3 linked regions of the Oryctolagus cuniculus genome follow. The main gene of each other region encodes a partner of the protein of the gene in region 2 in a complex. Links are inferred from orthologs where the notes say so. Each region holds a gene or a part of one and is shown on either strand. Other genes may lie near its edges.

Region 1 (4,965 bases), on a different chromosome or scaffold from region 2:
ACTAACTAGAAGAAAACTGAATCACTGCACTAGTATTTAGAAATATTTAAACATTCAGATATAGACAGTACAACTGAGGCACAACTATGAGTCAAAAAAGGACTTTTTGTGTCTTCCCATGTAAGACATGGCCGGGGAACTTTTATTCTGCCAAGGGCCATTTGGACATTTATAACTTCATTTGTGGGCCACACAAAACCATCATCTTAAAAATCAGCCTGCTATAGATTTATCAGATTTCGAGTTCACTTACAGTTGCCTTGGCAGGACCAGACCAAATGAGTTGGTGGGCCTTATGCAGCCAAGGGGCTGATGTTCCCCACCCCTCATGTAAAGTCTGAAAACAAAGAGGAACCCAACTTACTCTTGCTTTCAGAGAGCATCTCTGTGCGGTCTGCCAGGAAGAATATATTGCTGTTCTGCTGTTGCCTGTATACTCTCTGCAAAACAGAATTTAGGCCAAACTCAAGATATGATCTAAAAAGATGTCAAATCTTTGAATCCTACTACTACATACTTGTAAACTTTGGGAATTTACTTTAGTAAATACAGATAACAAAGAGACAAATAAAAGTTACCAACCATCCTGCCACCCAGACACTATTATCATTACCAGTGAGGTGAAACTTGTTTTTTTCCCTTGTAAACCATAATACCACTGTTATTTTAATAAAAAAGGCTTCTACTATCATCTATAGTTTTACAATGACTATATCAAGAACACTTTTTCTTATCAATATGTATTCCTTTATAATATCATCGTATGACATACTACATTTATTTGCTCAATCCTCAAATGTTAGACATTTAAGGTATTACTGTCCCTCAAGTATTATAGATCAGTGTTGTGATGGACATCTTTGTAGCTGGCAACAATATCAGAAATGTCTAATCTGTCAGTTATAATCTTTAGGCGCTTGAAAGAGCTCAAAGTCATTTACTCCTGAACATTAAAATGTAATTTTAATGTAGTTTAATGTATAACTACACATGAAGCAACAAAGATGGCTTGCTTATGAATATATACACAGAAATTGCATTTAAAAATAATGCTAAGCACTGAGAAGATTTTGGGGGGGCGGTGAGAGAAGTAATTTTTTGTTCAACATTTACTTTAAGGGATAGTTTCTTCTCAATAAACTTTAAGTTCATTTATTTCAAAAATACACACCAAATTCAAGCATAAAATAGTTACATTAGTGGTACAGCTTGAAGATACCAAAATCCAATCTGCGTCATTAGCTTTAAAGGTCGTGTAAATGGCATATGAAAAGGAAGAGACATCTTCAGCTTTATGAGATCTATGTACGTACAGTTTAAAATAAACGTAGGCACTGGGCTTTTGCAATTTAAAGAGATGCCGAAAACTTGTCAACCTTTATATAAACCTTCCATACAACTTTTATGATTTTATATAATATAAATATAACCAAGCTTCCCACATACTATTCAGAATTTCTATAACTCACCCTGTTCTTCTTCAGGTTAGAAAGTTCATCCACAACGACTTTTTGTTCTTTAATCTACTGAAATAAAGAGAAACGCTTAAAACAGAATTTTAACTCTTAAAAACATGTTCAATTAGATGACGGCTTTAAAATTAGGCAGATGGCGTAAGAAGGTATCATGCGCTGATTGTCCAAATGGGCAGTCTGAGAAGATTCTTTCCAGTCTATGTGTGCACAGGTGGAGGGGGAAATGGGCATTAGACATCTAAATGTCACACAACCCACGGAGCCCAGCCAGTGGGTTTGATGTTGGCAACCGGCCTTCATGCCTGTGGCCACAGTTACTGAACAAGGCCTATACAAACAGACGATATGCACCAGAAGTAATACCAGTCTCTGACGATTTGTGTACTAAATGGTGCGGCTAGACAGTCCTTTTAACCAAGTAGTTCTAAATCCCCCTGTCTTGGCATCAATCTTCTTTGCACAGTGCTGGCTTCACTTTTCAATTTCAGGAGAGAACTCAAGTAAGTGCAAACTTTCTGATACTTTCTAGTAACTGGCTATTTTATGAACACGATCTATTACCTAACATCACCAGCGCCTCTAAAACCAGATGTAAGATTTTTACACTGCACCACACACTTGAGGGATCTGCCATAGGTCGGCAGCAGAGTGGGCTGTATTTTGCAAATTCACTCCCTGCCCCATGAGTCTCCCCCTTGTTGTCTCCAGAGCTGACACAGCTGCAGAAGGGACAGGATAAGGCTGACTTCCAAGGTTGAAACTATACCCTCCCCCTCTTTGAGACTTAACGCTTGTACCACAGTGCTTTCTTGTGCAGTTTAGGGATGTCAGGTCTGTATTTCACTTCCCACCAAAGAAGGAAGCTGTGATGCAGAGAGAACAGAGAGGTCTGTCCAAGACACCACTACTAGCTTGGAGCAGAACCAGTGAAGAATGCAGGACATTGAACTCCCTCCTCCACACGTTTAAAGGTTGCACCTGTTTCCGGCAGTTCAGGTCAGTATCAGAGTGGCTCCCCTCCCCCTCTTTCTCCGCAGATGAGTGACAATCAGATGTGCGAGGTTTAGGGCGGCCACTGCGGCTACAGCGGGGAACAGAGAAGGCAGCAGGTGGGCTAGGGAGCCCTTTGCGGGGGTCCGGGGCAGCCGATGAGGGCGGCTCGTTCAGGGACGCAGGAGCGTGCGTCCTCGGGACTAAAGTCACACTCGTACCGGAAGTGGGTTTCAGGTGTAGACCGACGTCAAGGATGAGCCCATGCCGCTGGCAGGGGTAACGGAAGGGGTGAGCTACAGATCTGGAAGGGCCGCGGAAACTCAGCCCACAAGACGCTTAGCGCGACTACTTCCAGGGAAGGGGAAGTGCCGACTGCTACCAACAGCAGAGCAGCGCAAGCCGAGGCCGTCTCCAGCGAAGCCCCGCGCTGCTCGCGGCCGGCCCTCTCTGGGTTGCCCCAGGCGCCGGGTCCTAAGCCCGGGAGGCCTGCTCGCTGCGTCCCACGCCCACCTTGTTGCAAAGATCCTCCTTGTGTAAGGTCCGGCCGCCGGCGGGGACCGGCACAGCGCTGTCCTCCGGGTGCACGCCCCGGCCGGGCATCTCCAACCAGCCGCAGACACGCAGGATTCACCAGAGCTCCCGAGAGTCCCACCACCGACCGCCCCAGCCACAGCGCCGGCAGCGTCACCTGCCTTGCAGAGGTCTCACCAACCTCCTCCGCGCGCTCACTCCAACGCCTGCGCAGTCCGGGCCTGACGCCCCCGCCCCCTCGCCAAGAGCGGTTCTACGCATGCGCACAAATGCCTAGAGCGCCAGTGTTTCGAGCCCGGTTGCGAAATCTAAGCAATTCATACGCCGACCCCCAGCGGATCGGAGGTAGAAACACTTTTGTGGGCTCTTGGACTACAAGTTACACGCGCCCCCTATTGGTGCAAATAAAGAACAGACGCGCAGTAGAAACACCAATTAGTTATTAACCAGTCAGATCCTGAACTAAAGCACAGATTTCATAGACACAATGTTGGCAACCGAACCCTACAGAATTGGAAAAGTTTTTGTTAATTTGTAACTAGGGTTTTCAGCTAAATACAATTTTATACGAATTTCAGGTGAATGAATACTTTTATTAGTGTACATCCTATGCAATATTTGTAATGTCTCATTCTTGCAAAAAAAAAAATGACCAAAAGTTGGAAATAGGCAAGAGATTACCTGATGTTCTTTCAGTGCTGTTCTAGGATTGACTTTCAATGAACTGAACTGTTTTACAACCTGGTGCAGGCAGGGGACAAAAGCAGAGGCAAACGTGTGGATTTTTGACTGGTAAAAATGCTAATAATTTCTACTAGGTCAATAAGATACTTCCAAGGTTATGATTTATTATCTGGAAGACATTAATCAGTTATGTATGTAACACTGAGGTCCTGTCTGACATTTCTTGACTGATAAATTCCTTGCTTTTCAAATGCTCTTTGAATTGATTTTCATATCTGACTGGTTTCCTCATTTACTAATGAGTTAAATAAAACCATGATATGTGTTTATTTTATATTTGCATATGAGACCACATATTTGAAAATTATATTCCAGTGTTGGGAATCACGATGTTCTATGGAGATGCTTAAGTGCACTTATGAGATGTAGACAAATTGTGTGACTTAATAGATGTACTTGGTGGCTTTTTTTAAGCCCTAGCATATCTTTCATCGGGTCTTCTAGTAAGAAAAGTTATATGAGGTCTGGACTGGTAAATTTTTATGTTTCTCCATGTATCTGTCTATCTGAAATTTAGAACAGGCTTCTTTATTTTTTTTTAATTTCTTTGACAGGTAGAATTATAGACAGTGAGAGAGACAGAGAAAAGGTCCTTCTTCTGTTGGTTAACTCCCCAAATGGCCACCATGGCCGGTGGTGTGCCAATCCGAAGCCAGGAGCCTTCTTCCTGGTCTCCCATGAGGGTGCAGGAGCCCAAGCACTTGGGCCATCCTCCACTGCCCTCCCAGGCCACAGCAGAGAGCTGGACTGGAAGAGGAGCAACTGGGACAGAATCTGGTGTCCATATGGGATGCCGGCGCTGCGAGGCAGAGGATTAACCAAGTGAGCCACGGCGCAGGCCCCTGTTTTTATTTGCCATAGAATGGGTATTTTTTATAAAGATTTATTTATTTATTTGAAAGGCAGAATTACAGAGAGGCAGGGGGTGGAGAGAATGAGAGAGAGCGAGAGAGAGGTCTTCCACCCGCTGGTTCACTCCCCACATGACATGACTGCGACAGACATAGCTGTGCCGATCTGAAGCCAGGAGCCAGGAGCTTCTTCTAGGTCGCCCATGCGGGTGCAGGGGCCCAAGGACTTGGGCCATCTTCTACTGTCTTCCAGGCCATAGCAGAGAGCTGGATTGGAAGTGGAGCTGAAATCGGACATGACCCCCTAAAATCTACACAAAAATGTAGCCCTTTAAAGTTCCCCGGAAGTGCTATCTGGGGTGCCACATGTG
Region 2 (4,213 bases):
CAGAGTCCTGTTTAGTCTCTTGATGCTTTCATGATGATGGCACAAGGTAAGTGTCATCTCTAAACTAGGTTGAAGAAGCACTGATCTTTGATTAGTGAGAATTTACAAATAAATTGTGGCCTAATAATACATTGGGATCACATTTCATGAGTAATCACACTCTTTTTAAAAAGATGTATAAGTTTTGGAATCTGACTGACTGTGGGAAATGTGAATAATAGGCTCCCATAGAAAATTGAAATAGGAAGGAAACACCGGGAGGCAAGAAAGGTATGGATGAGTGCAGCCTGGCCAAGTGCTCATCACCTTCCCCTGCAGTGTAGAAGCAAGCAGACAGGCTGAACACCTTTCCTGAATGCCTCTCACTGAACTATGAAGTAGGCAAAGGTCAGCCTGGCCTGCTGTTGTATTCGTTGTAAGCAGTATGATGAGACGTTGAAATTCATACTGTGTCAATCTGGAAAATCAATAAGAAAATAATAATGCACAGTGAAGGAAGAAACATGTACAACATAGATAGTACTCATATCCTTCAAAAGGGGTTCAAGGTCAAGCCACCCAGGCCTACTTTGGAAACAGCCTAAATCACTTTGGATGCACTCCTTGTTTGAAGCACTGGTTATCAAACTTCAGGGAACCAGCTAGTCAGCAGCCTGGGGACCATCCTAGAGATCCTGACTGATTATGTCTAGGGACAAGCCTGTGAACCTGAAGTTATTAACAAGCCCACCTGGTGGTTCCGACGCGGAAGTCCTAGATAGATCCTCTCTGAAGAGCAGTAGGTAAAATGGGCTCAGGCATGTGAGTTCCAAGCTTAATAATCACAGTTCTCACTGGGCACTTAAAAGACACTTAAGTGGAAAGAAAAATTTAGAAGTATGTAAGTTACCTTTGTGGCAGAACCTTTATTTTTAAACAAAAATCCGGGTATGATGTGTGTTCTTATATTTTATTAGTGGAATTGAAGGTTTGTGTAAGTAAGAGGCTGTGTTTGTTGTCTAGGAATTTGGAAGCCCCAGAGGTGCCAGTGTATTCGGTAAAGGGCCATAAAGAAATCATCAACACCATTGATGGGGTGGGTGGACTGGGAGTCGGCGAAGGAGCCCCTGAAATTGTGACTGGCAGTCGAGATGGTGAGTCGATGTAGTCTGTGCGTCTAAAACGAAGTCTCTGTGCAGCCTGCTGTCCATATGGCAATCCCCTCCCCGTCCCTACCACATTGCCTTGACCATGACATCAACAGTTTTGCCTCTGCTCTTTTCATAGGCAATTTGGATGGCGTATCCCTCAGTCGTTTCAGACTTTGGGGCATTTTGAGATAGAGGCATATAGCACGCACTATTTTAGTACCAAGTTAGTTCAACTAACAATGGTAGTTTGCTCTGAACCTTGAAGGATTTAAAATGTCTTTACAGGTTTTTGAGGCAGCTGACGATATAATGTGGGTGGCAGCTTTTCATTTTCTTTTTTTAAAAAGCAGAATTAGTACTTGTGAAAATTGTCATATTGACAGCTGGTTGGAAACTGAGGCTCCGAGCTCCCCGTGCTGGGTGTGGTAGAGCCCTCCAAGGGCGCTCCGAGCTCCCCGCACTGGGCGTGATAGAGGGCACTCCTGGCCTTTTTCATCTGCTGTGGCCAGTACTGGTTGGAATGACTGTGACCAAATCGCAGTTTGTATGGCTTCGTGAGGGATGCACGAGAGACTCGGTACCTTGGTTGGACTAGTTTTTTAACAACTATTCAAGACCATGAGGAAACTGATTTAAAATATAAATATATCATTTTAAAATAGTTAACAGCAGTTGTGTTTTAGAAATCAGTTGTTCTGGACGGGGACTGTAGCATAGCAGGTTAAGCCACTGCCTGCAATGCTGGCATCCCATATGGGCTCTGATTTGAGACCTGGCTGCTCCACTTCTGATCCAGCTCCCTGTGATGCACCTGGAAAAGCAGTGGAAGATGACCCAAATGCTTGGGTCCCTGCACCCACATGGGAGACCCAGAAGAAGTTCCTGGTTCCTGGCTTTGGACTGGCCCAGCCCTGACCGTTGTGGCCATTTGAGGAATGAACCAACTGATGGAAGACCCCTCTCTTTTTCTCTCTCCTCCCTCTCTTGGTAACTCTGCCTTTCAAATAAAGAAAATAAATCTTTAGAAAGAAAATAAATCTTTAAAAAGAAAATCAGTTGTTCTTCCAATCATAAAAGCAATATGGAACATAGAAGGCAAAATAATACTGAATTTATCACACTGCCCCAACCATTAGATTTTTATTTGCCTTTCCAGTTTTATATACCATTTTGTATATTTAGCAGTATGAATATAATTTCATATCCTTTTTGATTTAATGTTTTGTCATGTATAAATCCTGCTGTTTCCAGTTTTCGTATTATTTTAAGAACTATAATATTCCATTATATGACTGTGTCAATGTGCTTACCCATGCCACTGTTGGTAAGCATTCAGTGTACTTTAAGTTTATTGTTTTGTGAGACTGGTTTAAAAGTAATGAAGAAATGATTGTTGTCATTTATGTAACTCTTTTGGAATAAACATTTTATGGTTCTTAAAATTTAGTGTTAGACTTTCCAAAGTATCTGTGACGTTGTCAGGTACAATACATGAAGTAGATTTCCAACCTCCCCTAGTAGCATTGATTTCCTTTTTTCCCATAATTTTATAGATAAAACAGTACTCCATTCTAACTTGTATTAACTTTTGTCTTTGTTTGTTAGTTGGTTTTGGCTTGTGAGTTGTCTGTTTATATTCTTTGTTCATTTAGCTATTGGACACTTACTGTACATCTTATCAATTTGTATAAACCTTACAGTGTAAGATAACCTCTTGTTAACATTTGTGAGAAATGTTTTTCTTCTTAAGGCAGCCTTTTATTTTATTTTTATTTATTTATTTTTATTTTATTTTATTTTATTTATTTGAAAGTTACAGAGAAAGGTAGAGACAGAAGTCTTCCATCTGTTGGTTCACTCCCTAGATGGCTGCAATGGCCAGAGCTGTGCCAATCCGAAGCCAGAAGCCAGGAGCGTCTTCCGGGTCTCCCACGTGGGTGCAGGGACCAAGGACCTGGGCCATTTTCGACTGCTTTCCTAGGCCATAGCAGAGAGCTGGATGGGAAGAGGAGCAGCCAGGACTAGAATCAGCACCCATATGAGATCCAAAGCCAGGAGCCAGGTGCTTCCTCCTGGTCTCCCACATGAAGTAATTCTCTATTAAAATAATATTAGGATAGTACTCTATAGAGTATTACATGAAGTAATACTCTAAAACCCCATATAGAAACCATAGAGTAAACATTAGAGTATACTCATTTGTGTAAGAAACGTTGGAGCCTTGTGTAAGAAAGGTTGTGGCACAGCAAGCTAAGCTGCTGCCTGCAATTCTGCCATCCCACACTGGAGGGCCAGCTCGAGTCCCTGCTGCCCGGCTCTGGATCCACCTCCCTGTTACTGTGCAGAGGACGCCTGCCTCCCTGTTACTGTGCAGAGGACGCCTGCCTCCCTGTTACTGTGCAGAGGATGCCTGCCTTCCTGTTACTGTGCAGAGGATGGCTCTTCGGGCCCTGCCGCCCATTTGGGAGATCCTAGTGGAGTTCCTGGTTCCTGGGTTTGGCCTGGCAAGATTATCAATCCATCCATCCATCTTTCCAGCTATCTCTACCCCCCACCTCCCCTTCAAATCAAAACTGACCTTTAAAAAATAAAATTTTAAAAAGCATCAGTGATTACACAGATAGTAAGGAAAAAATTTTAAAATGACACCAGTATAATTCTAAATAATACATTAGTTTGTTTTAGGCTCAAAGAACAGAGGGCATGATTTGAATTATGTGACATTTGTGTTTGCCTGATCAATAGCTTGTAGATAACCTAGGAACAGCTGTTGCTTTTCTGTGTGTCCATTAATTTGGCAATCAAGTCAGACAGTAACATAGGAGTCATATCTTTGATATCAAATACATACTTCAAACTAATTAGAAGTTGGAGAAACTAGAATATTTTTCAGACGTCATAAACATCTGTACTGTTGCCATGTACACAGGGGGCCATAGGAAGAGAATGTGGGAAAGAAACATGACCATTCCCGAATGCATTTTGCCACCTTACTTTTATCCATGACAGGAACTGTGAAGGTGTGGGACCCGAGGCAGAAAGATGACCCTGTTGCTAACATGGAGCCTGTACAAGGGGAACAC
Region 3 (4,706 bases), on a different chromosome or scaffold from region 2:
TTCAAATAACTCAAATGGAACCTCTGCTGGGCAGCCTTCCTCAGCTGCATTTCAAACCCAATTGTCCTTCCTTATTCAACAACTTAAAACTCAAATGGAGCCCACCCTTTCTCTCCCCATCACCACCAACATAGATCTGTTCCATTCACTGCTTCAGTAATTCATTCAACAAACACAGAGGGTCTGCTACCTGCTGGGTAGTATTCTAATCACCTGAGGTCTAGACAAAGTTTCTCCCTTTGTAAAGCTTACATCCTAACTGGAGGAGATGATATGTATGAGTAAGAAATAAATTACACAGTAAATATTAGCAAGTGACAAATGCTAGGTAGAAAAGAAAAAAGAACAAGAGAGGGGAATCAAAGACTACTAGGGGTTGCAATTATATAGTTAGGTTATGAAAGACTTTGTTGAGGAAAACACATTTAAGCAGGACAATGGAGTGAGGAGAAAAGAAGCCACAGGAGTACTGGGGAAAGAGCACTGCAAGCAGAGAAAACAGCCATGGCATCTGCCCTGAGGTGAGAGCATTCTTGGGACATTTAAAGCAGCATGTGCAAGTCACTGTGGCAAGAGCACAGCAATGAGCAGGAAAATGAACATGTTAAATTAGAGGTAACCTGTTTTACTGTTACTGATTTACAGGCTGAGGCCTCATGGATCCGGTCATAGTTGTATTTAGGTCTAATAATACAGTCCCTCTAGAATGTAAGCTCTCAAGAAACTCTTCTGTCTTGTTCCCTGGGGCATCTCCACTGTCAAGCACAGAGTGTGGTAAACAGAAGATGCCCAATATGTTTGTGTGAATGAATGATACAAAGCTCCCTTACTGGAGTGTTTATTATGTGCTATACCTGGGGCTGAACTTTGCATCCCCTTTCCTCAGCTACAGCCCAGAGGAGGAACGGAGGTAGGTCTCTAACTTAAGGGAGAAGAGTGTTGAAAATGGTGGGGTGTTGGGGCCAATGCAATGGCACAGGTCAATCCTCCACCTGTGGCGCCGGCATCTTATATAGGCACCAGTTCTAGTCCCGGTTGCTCCACTTCCAATCCAGCTCTCTGCTATAGCCTGGGAAAGCAATAGAAGATGGCCCAAGTGCTTGGGCCCCTGCACCCACGTGGGAGACCTGGAAGAAGCACCTGGTTTCTGGCTTTGGATCTGCGCAGCTCCAGCAGTTGCAGCCATCTGGGGAGTGAACCAACAGAAGGAAGACCTTTCTCCCTATCTCTCCCTCTCACTGTCTGTAACTCTACTTCTCAAATAAAATAAATAAATTCTTTAAAAAAATGGTGGGGTGTTTTAGATACTACCTTCAAGAATGCACTTACTGTGTGAGGAGTGAGCTCTTACGATCAATGAACTTGAGAGCTTCTGCCAGTGTTAATTCCAGGAAAAAACCATATCCCAGGGCCACATAGATGCGTGAAGTATCTGAGCTGAGGAGAGAGAGGTTAGAGGAAGTGGAAGACATCCTTATTACTGTTTATCATACCATACAGTTTAGTTAATTTTTTACTCCCTCCCCTTCCCCAAATTGAGACTCTGGGAAGACAGGGACTTTATTCTATTTTATTTCTTGTCATATTCCCAGTACTTAGGTTATGTCCTAAGGTATGTAAAATCTAGCACAGTGTTTGGTACATAGAAGATGGTAAAAAAAAAATATCTTGCATGAAGGAAGGGCTCAGAAGGGCGGGTAGACACTCACACCACTGTGTCAACGAAGAAGTTACAGCCCAAATCCACCTGCATATATAACTCCGATTGCTTAGCTTCCTGTGGGGCCAGGGAAAAAGAGGTAGGGGTCAGTGGTCAATTTGTAGGTCAGGTGACAGGTTTTGGTCTAGGGTCTCTCTTCTCAGTTCCTTCCCATGCTCCCCCCATCACACACATACCAAAACCAAATGAAAAAAAAAAAAAAAAACAGTACCCAACCATGATATATCTACCTGGAGTCGTTCAATGACATTTCTTAGCTGAAGGTATTTGGCCAGCTGCTCATATACCTTGTCTCGATGGTCCAGCACCTTTCTGATGGGACAAAAGTACAAATGGTGACCAACAGGCAGCTTTGTCCTCCTTGGGAAACCTTATACCATGATTCTTTGAGGTGCTCCAGTTACCATGCTCTAAGTAGGCCTTTTAGTGTAGAAGTTAAAATTCTGGACACTGGGTCAGACTGCCTGGGTTTGAATCTGGGTTCTACCCTTTGCTAGTGGTGTGACTTCACTAAGTAAACTGTTCTATATGCAGTTTTCTCATCTACAAAATAGGAGTGGCATTCTAACCTCACGGAGGCACTGGGATTAAATGAATGTTTACTATAAGACACTTAGAATGATGTCTTCCAAATGATAAGCTTTATATACGTGTTAGCTCTTACTATTATTACACTTTACTCCCAAATGTCAATCTCTATGTCTCATCTTCACCCTAGAAAAATCCTCCACCCCTTTCGGGATGCTCATAGTCTAAGCCTTACTTCCTGCTCAGATTAGTAATAATAGCTTTTCACATTCCTTGAACCTTTAACATATTTCAGGCATCACACTTTTTTAAACTCAACCACTGCATGAATAAGGTTCCGTAATAAACTTCCTCATTTTACTGATTTGAGAAATTTATAAGGCACAGAAAGGAGGGGCAAGGTGCGATGTTTACACGGATGGCAGGTAGCCGAGCCAGAACTCAAACCCCAGAACTGTGGATCTGGAATTTGGCCCTTAATCCATTAAGCAACATCGGGACCGCGCATGCGCAGACACGCCCTATGAACGCCACGTCCTAGCCAAATCGCACCCCGGAAGTCGCTCCTCCTTTCCCCTTCGAATGGCGCGTGGTGACGGGCTCCGAACGTCTCGCCCACCAATCTGAAGGCTTGGCCCCCGACTTTAAACGCCCCACCCACCACGTGGACTATTCTGAAGGCCCCGCCCCTCTCGCTGTCACTCACCGCAAGTCCCGCTGCAGCACGTCACTGATGAAGGCCTCATAGCGCAGAACTTTCTCTCCCGTGGCCTCAACCACCCGCCCTTTAGGGGGCGTCTCCATTATGGGCTCCTGGGGAATGAGCAGAGGGAAGACCACGTTGACCACTTCAGTATGGACTCATGCAGGTCATCTCCACCCTCTCAACGTTGGGAAATGGGCACGTTCGGGTCCTGCTGGGGGTTCCGCCTTCTGCCCTTCCCAACTCTAGGACTCGGCCACCCAGGGATACCAAAATGCGGCCCTTACCTGAGGGCCGCCGGCGATAAGAACGGGTTGGTATAACCGCGGCTTCCGGGTGGCGCGGGTGAATGACGTATAACAAGCGCGCTGACCAACCAAATAAGCAGGTGGGGAGGGGCGGTCCTGAAAGGAAGTAAGACCCGCCAAGGGGAAAAAGAGAAGGTCAGGGCTTTACTGAATCAAAGGAGATCAGGTAGGACTGTAGGGCGTGGGAGCAGAGATCCTTTGGCAATGAACTAGCCTATTGGAAACTGCACAAGCAGCGCGTGGAGCCTGTGGGGACTGTTCGCGGCTTTTGTGGATTTGGCGGTTTCCAGGGGAGGTAGAACGCACAGGTGGAGGTAGAGCTAGGGAATGAAGCGTTTAGTATTTAAAAGGCAGAGCCTGGGAGGCGGACAGGCAAGTCACATCTTGACTTCACCCGAGAGGTTCGCGTTTCACTCCCGGTGATGGGAACGAGTATGAGCATTTAAAAACTTTTTAATGGAGACGCATTTTTCTAGAATTCCTCTTTGAGGATTGCAGCTCTGTGGCCCACAATCTATGACTGGAGCTAAGCAGAGATTGGCAATACTATGTGTAAGCATCTCATTTTATTAGTCAAATGGAGGGTCCCTGAGTCGTTTGCAAAAGATCTGCTATTTTGTACTTAGGAATAATCCCGTGTGTTTAATTAAATGGGCAAGCTTTTTCTTTGTATGCACTCAAGTGATTGAATGCCTGTATTTTGCATCTTTAGCATCTAACCCAGCAAGTCCTGGCCTGAGCCCAGAGGAGAATTCAGATGCTCGCACCCCCAAATGCTATTCCCATATCTAGAGCCTAGAGTCCTTACCCTTACTTGTGAAGTCTTCCCAAGTAATTTGCGTGTAAAAGTTCGGTTGTCCTTTCCAAATTCTCAAACCTGTTTGTTAAGCTTTTCTTTGCCTTCAGGAAAAAGTGACTGTAAAAGGAACATTGAGTTTTTTTGTTTTTTTTTTTTTTTGTTTTGTTTTGTTTTGTTTTGACATGAGAGTTCTTTTAAAAGTTTGTGGGAAAATAGAATTAAACCGTGGTTAAGTCCCTGCTTGGAACACTAGCATCACATGTTGGTGGAGTGCCTGGTTCGAGTCCCAGCTCCTTCACTTTGGATCCAGGTTTCTGATAATGCATACCCTGGGAGGCAGCAGATGATGACTGACATAGTTGGGTCCCGTAAAATATGTAAGAGACTCAGATGAAGTTCTGGACTCCTTATTTCAGCCTGGCCTAGTCCTTGCTTTTGCCAGCATTTGGGGAGTATCCCAGAGGATAGAAGATCACTCTGTCTGACTTTCAAATAAAATGAAAATAAATAAATAACGTAAAGAAAAATAAGATTGGTTTGGTTCAAAATTTTTGAAATCCATTTATAATTTCTTCATAGTGTGCAATTTCCATGAACTTTTTGAAGACTCCGTGTATGCATGGCTTTCAAAAGTTTTTCGCACCAGAA

What was found. Proteins that work in one complex are often made in the same cells at the same time.
Region 1: DNAAF10 (region 2) and ASDURF share a complex: the UniProt entries of both Homo sapiens proteins name them as parts of the PAQosome complex. The link is inferred for Oryctolagus cuniculus from reciprocal best matches to the Homo sapiens genes DNAAF10 and ASDURF.
Region 3: DNAAF10 (region 2) and UXT share a complex: the UniProt entries of both Homo sapiens proteins name them as parts of the PAQosome complex. The link is inferred for Oryctolagus cuniculus from reciprocal best matches to the Homo sapiens genes DNAAF10 and UXT.

Annotation. Positions count from the first base shown.
Region 1 is NC_091434.1:50,691,287-50,696,251, forward strand, and holds the start of ASDURF (ASNSD1 upstream open reading frame protein), read right to left. Parts: upstream 3,267-4,965; 5' UTR 3,069-3,266; coding exon 2,979-3,068; intron 1,524-2,978; coding exon 1,470-1,523; intron 441-1,469; coding exon 365-440; intron 1-364.
Region 2 is NC_091433.1:134,467,002-134,471,214, forward strand, and holds part of DNAAF10 (dynein axonemal assembly factor 10), read left to right. Parts: intron 1-1,002; coding exon 1,003-1,133; intron 1,134-4,139; coding exon 4,140-4,213. UniProt on the Homo sapiens protein: Key assembly factor specifically required for the stability of axonemal dynein heavy chains in cytoplasm.
Region 3 is NC_091453.1:33,164,251-33,168,956, forward strand, and holds the start of UXT (protein UXT), read right to left. Parts: upstream 3,267-4,706; 5' UTR 3,239-3,266; exon of another isoform or gene 3,062-3,238; 5' UTR 3,053-3,061; coding exon 2,955-3,052; intron 2,033-2,954; coding exon 1,951-2,032; intron 1,778-1,950; coding exon 1,710-1,777; intron 1,438-1,709; coding exon 1,330-1,437; intron 1-1,329. UniProt on the Homo sapiens protein: Involved in gene transcription regulation. Acts in concert with the corepressor URI1 to regulate androgen receptor AR-mediated transcription. Together with URI1, associates with chromatin to the NKX3-1 promoter region.